2 linked regions of the Oryctolagus cuniculus genome follow. Each later gene encodes a partner of the first gene's protein in a complex. Links are inferred from orthologs where the notes say so. Each region holds a gene or a part of one and is shown in the gene's direction. Other genes may lie near its edges. The genes, in order: GAS8 and DRC12.

What was found.
Region 2: GAS8 (region 1) and DRC12 share a complex: the UniProt entries of both Homo sapiens proteins name them as parts of the nexin-dynein regulatory complex. The link is inferred for Oryctolagus cuniculus from reciprocal best matches to the Homo sapiens genes DRC4 and DRC12.

What each region holds. Positions count from the first base shown.
Region 1 is NC_091449.1:69,576,691-69,580,492, forward strand, and holds part of GAS8 (dynein regulatory complex subunit 4), read left to right. Parts: intron 1-1,036; coding exon 1,037-1,246; intron 1,247-3,802. UniProt on the Homo sapiens protein: Component of the nexin-dynein regulatory complex (N-DRC), a key regulator of ciliary/flagellar motility which maintains the alignment and integrity of the distal axoneme and regulates microtubule sliding in motile axonemes.
Region 2 is NC_091432.1:111,112,544-111,116,865, forward strand, and holds the start of DRC12 (dynein regulatory complex protein 12), read left to right. Parts: upstream 1-1,473; 5' UTR 1,474-1,535; intron 1,536-1,620; 5' UTR 1,621-1,693; intron 1,694-2,973; 5' UTR 2,974-2,985; coding exon 2,986-3,055; intron 3,056-3,386; coding exon 3,387-3,452; intron 3,453-4,322. UniProt on the Homo sapiens protein: Component of the nexin-dynein regulatory complex (N-DRC), a key regulator of ciliary/flagellar motility which maintains the alignment and integrity of the distal axoneme and regulates microtubule sliding in motile axonemes.

The sequences.
Region 1 (3,802 bases):
GTGGTGGCTGCGCCCTCTCTGTCTCCTCAGAAGCCGGCCTCTCACACAGGTTGGGTAGCTTGGCCCCTCACGGCAGCCCTTTTCATCGCCCTGTGTCACGTTCCTGAGCACTAGCCTAACTGCACAACGTGGCACTGTCCATCGTGCAGGTGGAAAGGAGCCGACCTGCTGCCCAGTAGTGGCCCTCAAGGGGGAGGCAGTGTCGTGAGCCTCTTTCTAGACATGGTCTTCTTCCTGTGTGCTTTACTGTAGAAACTGGGATTGTGTTGTAACCAACACTTGCATTTTTTTTTAAAGGTTTGTTTATGTATTTGAAAGTCAGAATTACAGAGAGAGAGAAAGAGAGATATCTTCCATCCTTGGTTCACTGCCCAAATGGCTGCAGTGACCGGAGCTGTGCCAGACTGGAGCCAGGAGCTTTTGCCAGGGGCCCAAGCACTTGGGCCATCTTCTGCTGCTTTCCCAGACACATTAGCAGGAAGCTGGATGGAAGAGGAGCAGCCAGGACTCGAACCAGCACCCCTAAGGAATTCTGGCTTTGCAGGTGGCAGCTTAATCCGCTGCGCCACAGCACTGGCACTGCTTTTGACACTTGTGTGATGTCTTCATTCCTGTACAACACAGTCAGTAGCAGAGTTAGGAGAAGAGGAGAGTAGTTCTACCACTGGGCAGTGTGCTGGCTTCCAGACTGGCCATTGTGGGGTGCGTCGGCAGCAGTGGGATTCCAGGACCGCTCAAGGGGCCCCCCACCTCATAAATGCTTCCTGCTGGCAGTTAGATGCCTTGGATTTCACACACAGGTGGTCAGGGACAGGTGTCACTTGAGGTCAGAAGCAGTAGCTCAGGCTGTTGACCACTTGTGGATTGGCTTTTAGCTGGGGCTGCTCCAGCTCCCACCAGGATGCCCCTTTGCTGCCTGAGACCTTCCTGGGGGGCAGCATGTGCCCAGCAGGGGCAGGGGTGGGAAATGACCTCTCGCCAGGGACATGTCTGCAGGTAAGCGTCCTCGATGCTTACCCCAGTCCCGTCTCTGCAGGTACAACAGGAGCGCGATGAGCTCTACCAGAAGTTCACGGCCGCCATCCAGGAGGTGCAGCAGAAGACGGGCTTCAAGAACCTGCTGCTGGAACGCAAGCTGCAGGCCCTGAATGCCGCTGTGGAGAAGAGGGAGGTGCAGTTCAACGAGGTGCTGGCCGCCTCCAACCTGGACCCTGCCACCCTGACGCTTGTGTCCCGCAAACTTGAGGTAGGCCTTGGGCAGGCTTCTGAGGCGGTGCGGGCCAGGCTGGCCAAGCGGTGGGACTGCTCACTGCTGCCCCGTGCCTGTGTGGGCGGGCAGAGACCTCTCAGGTGACCGCAGGGGAGCTGCTGGTGGTGGCCTCTCAGGCTGTCGTTGCCAGCTTGTGGACACGTCAGTGGGGCTGCAGGCTGTCAGTCTCCCCCAGCCCCTCCTTCCTTCATGGTGCCTGAGACTCAGCCCCTCCCACTGCAGCCACCCAGACTGGCTCACGTCAGGTTCTTGTTACCTGAGCACAGCATGAGGACGGGTTCTCTGCGGGCCTGAGCTCTTCAGCGACAGACCCAGACACAGGCCTGGGGAGCAGCTGCGTCCCTGGGCTCTCCACCTAGGAAAATCACAGCCCCGGGGGCCCCCAGGAGAGGGTGGGTGGGGAGAGCCTTAGGTTGGTGGAGCAGGGGTAGTGAGGTCTCAGCAGACCCAGAACATTCACTCATTTGTGTCCATTGTTGCCTGCGGTGTTGCTCTCCTGGCCCTGGCATGGTGGGGGCAGCCTTGGCCCCCAGCAGACAGCTCGGGGATAGAAGAATCTGAAGCCTCAGACAGCCTCGTAGCTCAGCTTCTGCTGGTTGTCCAGCTTCCACAGCTAGGCCTGCGTCCATCCCCAGTAGCAGCAGGTGCAGCTCCCGCAGGGGCCCTTGGAGACAGACACAGGTCCTCAGCCTCTGGCTCAGCTGCTGCTCCCAAATTGGGCACAGCTGATCTCAAAGCCTGCAGCCTGCCCATCGAGGGGAGTCCCTTGTCCCTGAGATGGACCCTTGTGGGGCCAGTGGACTCCTCTCTGTCCCTCCTCCTTGTGCTGAGGTCGTCAGAGACACAGATGGCCTGGTTACAGATTTGAAGTGTCCTCATAGTTGATGGAGGGGTTTTGTTTTGTTTTGTTTTCCCCTAAAGATTTATTTATTTCAAAGGCAGAGTTACAGAGGCAAGAGAGAGAGAGAGAGAGAGAGAGATCCTCCATCTGCTGATTCACTCCCCAAATGGCTGTAATGGCCAGGGCTAGGCCAGGCTGAAGCCAGGAGCCAGGAGCTTCCTCCAGGTCTCCCACATGGGTGCAAGGGCCCAAGGACTTGGGCCATCTTCCTCTGCTTTCCCAGGTGCATTAGCAGGGAGCTGGATTGGAAGTGGAACAGCCAGGACACAAACCAGTACCTGTTTGGGATGCCAGCACTGCAGGTGGCATCTTTTTTTTTTTTTTTTTAAGATTATTTATTTATTTGAAAGAGTTGCAGAGAGGCAGAGAGAGAGAGAGAGAGGTCTTCCGTTCGGTGGTTCACTCCCCAAATGGCTGTAATGGCTAGAGATGTGCCGATCCGAAGCCAGGAGACAGGAACTTCTTCCAGGTTTCCCACGTCGGTGCAGGATCCCAAGGACTTGGGCCATCTTCTGCTGCTTTCTCAGGCCATAGCAAAGAGCTGGATTAGAAGTGGAGCATCCAGGACTCGAACCGGTGCCCATGTGGGATGCTGGCACTGCAGGTGGCGGCTTTAGCCACTATGCCACAGCGCCAGCCCTGACAGGTGGCATCTTAACCCGCTGTGCCACAGCACCGGCTCCTGTGGAGGTGTTTTATCCTGAGAAGTATTACAGGTAGCATTTTTCAGGTGATTTCATCCACACACTGTTCAGTAGAATGTGAATGCCCAGCACTGACTTTGTGTCGGGCCTCCTTGTCTGTTTGAAGGGAGACATCGTAACAGGGCCCTCAGCTGCACCTGTGACTTGAAGTGATGGGAGCCCCGAGTTGTGGACATGTAGACTGGCTCAGAGAGCCGGAGGGGAGCAGATGGCCAGTGCAGCATGCATGCGAGCAGAGAGGTGTAGGGGTAGGGAAGGCCCCTGCTTGTGGCCAAGCACAGGGGAGCAGCAGGTGCAGGCCCAGAGGGCAGCTCTGTTTGCAGGACCTTGGATTGCTTGGAATAGGCTAGAATAGGCTGTCAGGCCTGGGATGGTGCAACCACACAGGAGGGGAGGCAGCAGCACGGCCCTGGCATTGGACACTTGTTTCCCCTCTGCTCAGGATTGGACCCCTGTCCTCCGGGCAGGGCTGGTCTCCAGGAGCACAGGCAAGTGTGGGAGTGAGGTCCTGCTTTTGGCAGCAGGTGGAGGGACCTGCCCGTCTTCCTCAGGAAGATGGCCTCTGTGCTGCCGATGGAATGGCCAAGTGTACCTGGGCCAACTCTGCTGAAGTGTTAAAAGTTAGGCGCCCGTGCTGTGGCATACTGGATTAAGCCTCTGCCTGCAGTGCTGGCACCCCTTATGGGCTCCAGTTTGAGTCCCAGCTGCTCCACTTCTGATCCAGCTCCCTGCTGATGTGATGTGCCTGGAAAAGCAGTAGAATGTGGCCCAAGTGCTCCTACCTAGGGCCCCTGCACCCTGTGGGAGACCCAGAGGAAGCTCCTGGCTCCTGGCTTTGCGGCCATTTGAGAAGTGAACCAGTAGATGGACGATCTCTCTGGCTCTGCCCCCCACTTTCTTTCTCTAACTGCCTTTCAAATAAATAAG
Region 2 (4,322 bases), on another chromosome or scaffold:
CAAGGACTTGGGCCATCTTCTACTTTCCCAGGCCATAGCAGAGAGCTGGATTGGAAGCGGAGCAGCCAGGACTTGAACCAGCGTCCATATGGGATGCCGGCACTGCAGGCAGGCAGCGGCTTTACCGACTACACCACAACACTGGCCCCCTGACAGTCCCTATTCCTCAGACTCATTTTTCCCAACCACTGTGACTCTAGCGAGATGCTAGGAAGTACCTCAAAAAGGGACTCAGTCCCACACTGCCCAGAGATAATCCAAAATAAAAAACCTTGTGCAGATACTGTGGCGTAGAAGGTTAAGCCACTGCCTGCATGGCGGGCATCCCATATCAGAGTGCTGGTTTGAGTCCCAGCTGCTCCACTTCTAATCCAGATTCCTGCTACTGCGCCTGGGAAGCAGCAGCTGATGGCCCAAGCATTTGGGCCCCTGTCACCCATGTGGGAGACCTGGATGGAGTCTTGGGCTCCTGGCTTCGGCCTGGCTCAGACATGGCTGTGGTTGGCATTTAGGGAGAAAACCAGATGGACGATCTCTGTCTCTCTCTGTATCTGTCGTTCTGCCTTTCAAATAAATGAAATAAATCTATATAAAAAAAAAATTTAGCAGACTTGGGAATACAAGCGAGTCCACTAGAGGGAGCCCCAACCAACTCTATGGTACAGGGAGCCCCTCAAGGTAGTTTCTGAAAATCAACCACCTAAAGGCAATAGATTCAGTGGGTGCAATAAGACAGTCATGTAAATACCCAGTCAAGACCCAGGACCTTCAGAATTTACCAACTCCGTGATGTAAAAGGCAGGAAGCAGGCTAAACCAAGTTAAATAGCTTCCACCTCCAGAGAGGGGGCCTGTGCTGCAGTTTTGGTCCCTAACCAGTGTCCATCCCGCCAAGCCAATACCCCAGAGTCTACGGGTCCTCACTCCTCTGTGTCTCATTTTTCTGGAAGTCTGCCCCAGCACCTGCTCCTGCACCCTGCAGAATGCCTTGCCGAAGGGACGCTTCCGGTTTCAGCACAAGGTCATCTTGCAATAGGATCTCAGGATGTGGATCGTCCAAGACGGCTGCCATCACGCTTTTCCTCCACATCCGCACAACAGTGTTGTCTCAGCCGTGCAAATCTGTCATTTCTGAGTCTCCAAATGACAGCACCTACGTGGAAGTGAATCACAGCTAGTTTGCTCCAAAGCCCTTTCTTTTCAAACTATGCTTAGGATTTGTGGATGAAAGGAGAACTACCTTTCCCAGACCTTGGTCTTTTAGGCATTGTGAGTTGATCTGGCCTATTGCACCTTCTCATGAACTCCATGTTGCTCAGTTGCCTGGGCAACATGCAACCTCCAGAAACCCAACCTTCCAGTTCTCAGTCCAGCCCCCTGAGGAAAATGTGCTGCCTTGGATTGGCTCCCAGGACGCAGGCTCCTCCTCAGGCTCCTAGCTTATTGGGCCTTCTCTCTGTCTCTCCCCACGAGTGGCTCACTCTACAGGGAGACCCAACACAGGCAAGAGAGGGTCTGACAAGTGGTGGAGGTGAGGTAAGGATGAAGGCAAGAGGGAGGGGACAGCTATGGGAATGTATCTTCGCCAAGAGAGCTGAGAGTAACAGCTTTCTGTATGCAGTGTCTTCCCCACTGACCCCAGCCCCGCCTGAGGCTCCAAGGAGACCGGCAACTGAAGCTTCTGGAAAGTAAAGGTTTGTGGGAAATGTAATTAAAAGACAAGCTTATTTTGGTGCAAAAAATTCTTCCAAGTATATTTGAGGGATGTTCAAAAAGCTCATAGAACATGTGTATTGTGAAAAAAAACTGTGGGCCGGTGCCGCGGCTCACTAGGCTAATCCTCCGCCTGCGGCGCCGGCACACCGGGTTCTAGTCCTGGTCGGGGCGCCGGATTCTGTCCCGGTTGCCCCTCTTCCAGGCCAGCTCTCTGCTGTGGCCAGGGAGTGCAGTGGAGGATGGCCCAAGTGCTTGGGCCCTGCACCCCATGGGAGACCAGGATAAGTACCTGGCTCCTGGCTTCGGATCAGCGCGCAGGCTGCAACAACCATTGGGGGGTGAACCAACGGCAAAGGAAGACCTTTCTCTCTGTCTCTCTCTCTCACTGCCCACTCTGCCTGTCAAAAAAAGAAAAAAAAAAAAAGAAAAGAAAAAAGAAAAAAAAAGAAAGAAACTGTGAATGGATTTAACTGTATTTTCTATTAACTTTTTTGTTCTTTTGTTGTTGTTGTTGTTCTCATTTCTCCCTTAATTGTAACTATGTTGAGAGTCAGAGAGAGACCGACAGAAAGACAGACAGAGGCCCCATCTGCTGGTTCACTCCCCCAATTCCCCTAATGGCTGGGACTGGACCTGGCCAAAGCTGGGAGCTGGGAACTCAGTCCAGTTCTCCCAAGGGGGTGGCAAGAATCCACCTGCTTGAATCACCCTGCTACCTCCCCGAGTCTCTGCAGCAGGAAGCAGAAGTCAGGCGCTGCAGCCAGGAGTGCAGCAGGCACTCTGATATGGACTGTGGACGTCTTGACCACTAGACCGAATGCCCAGTCTGTATCCCACGAACTTTCTAAAGTACCATTCGAGTGCCAGTTCAAGTCCTGGCTGCTCCACTTCTGATCCAGTTCCCTGTTAATGTGCCTGGAAGGCGGCAGAGAATGGGCAAGTCCTGGGGCCCCGGCACCCACGTGGGAGATCAGGGGTCCAGACTCCTTACTTCTGCCTGGCCCAACCCTGGCCACTGGGGCCATTTAGGGACTAAATCAGCAGATGGAAGATCTCTCCTTCCACCCCCTGCCCCAACTCTGGCTTTCAACTAAATAAATATTTTTTTGAAATAAATAAATCTTTAAAAAAGAAAGACTTGTGTCTTTAAAACAAGAGAAAGGGGCAGACTTGGAAAGCAGACTTCTGACCCTCCCAAGACTCCTGGTTCAGGATCCCCTTGTCCAGATTTGAAAGCAAGGTCCCCTCCCTCCATCAGGACAGCAAGGAAATGCCACCCAAGACCAAACAGAAAGGCAGGAAAGCCGGCGTGCAGAAGAAGAAAAAGAACCCAGGGCCGGGTGAGTCGTCGTGGGTGGGGGTGGGTGCCCGTTTCTCTGGGTTCTGAAACAGAGACCAAGCAGAGGCCCGCAGCACAGTCCTCGCTGTCCAGATTCCACGGAGCTGAGGAATGGGGGAATGGTCACCCACGCCCTCCCTCGAGACCGCCCAGCTCTGTGCCTCCCCACTGGTCACCCATATGTTGAATGCCTCATCTGTGCTGGGCAGGGAGCACACGGTGCATGCTGAATGGACTCTGCCCGCAGGGAGCCCTCAGAGCTGGCTCAGGACGGAGTCCAGGGCCGGGGGCGGGGGTCATGTAAGCTAAGGCTCTGTCATTTGCCAGGACAGATGTGGAGGCCGAGTCCAAGCACAGACAGCTGGTGCTGGAGACGGAGCTGCTCCGAGACCGGCTGGGTAAGAAGGGTGAGCTATCTGGGACCACAGAAGCAGAGCAGTGGGGGCGCTGCTGTGTCCTGGCGGGACTGGACGTTTGGAGCCACGGTGGAAGCTACGCCAAACCCTAACCATCCCCTAGTGGAACAGGACAGGGAAGGCTGATGAGGGACGCTATTATTTACAGCCAGAACATGGAGGGAGGTTTTACTCCTTAGCAATGAAAAGCTCATGAGATCCTAGGAAAATAAAATGACCCAACAACCTGGAGAGACAGAAAGGGGCGGGCATTGTGGTGACATGGGTTCAGTCACCACCTGCGACACCAGCATCCCACTGGCTGCTCCACTGCCAGTCCAACTCCTGCTAATGTTTCTGGGAAAGCAGCCGGTAATGGTGCAAGTACTGGGGCCCAGCCCCAGCCATAGCAGCCATTTGGGGAGTGAATCAGTGGATGGACAATCTTTCTCTCTCTGTCTCTGTCTCTCTCTCTCTGCCACAGTGCCTTTCAAATAAATAAAATAAATACTTAAAAAGAAAAAAAAAAACAGAAAGAGAAAGAGAAAGAATAAGAGGTGGGGTGCCCTGCCCCCAGGTGTCTTTTATTTTTAAGATTTATTTATTTATTTGAAAGTCAGAGTTACATAGAGAGAGAAGGAGAGAGAGAGAGAGAGAGAGAGAGAGAGAGAGAGGTCTTCCATCCACTGGTTCACTCCCCCAGTTGGCTACAATGGCTGGAGCTGCACTGATCCGAAGCCAGGAGCCAGGAGCTCCTTCCAGGCCTCCCAGGCAGGTGCAGGGGCCCAAGGCATTGGGCCATCTTCCACTGCTTTCCCAGGACATAGCAGAGAGCTGGATCAGAAGTGGAGCAGCCAGGACCTGACTGGTGCC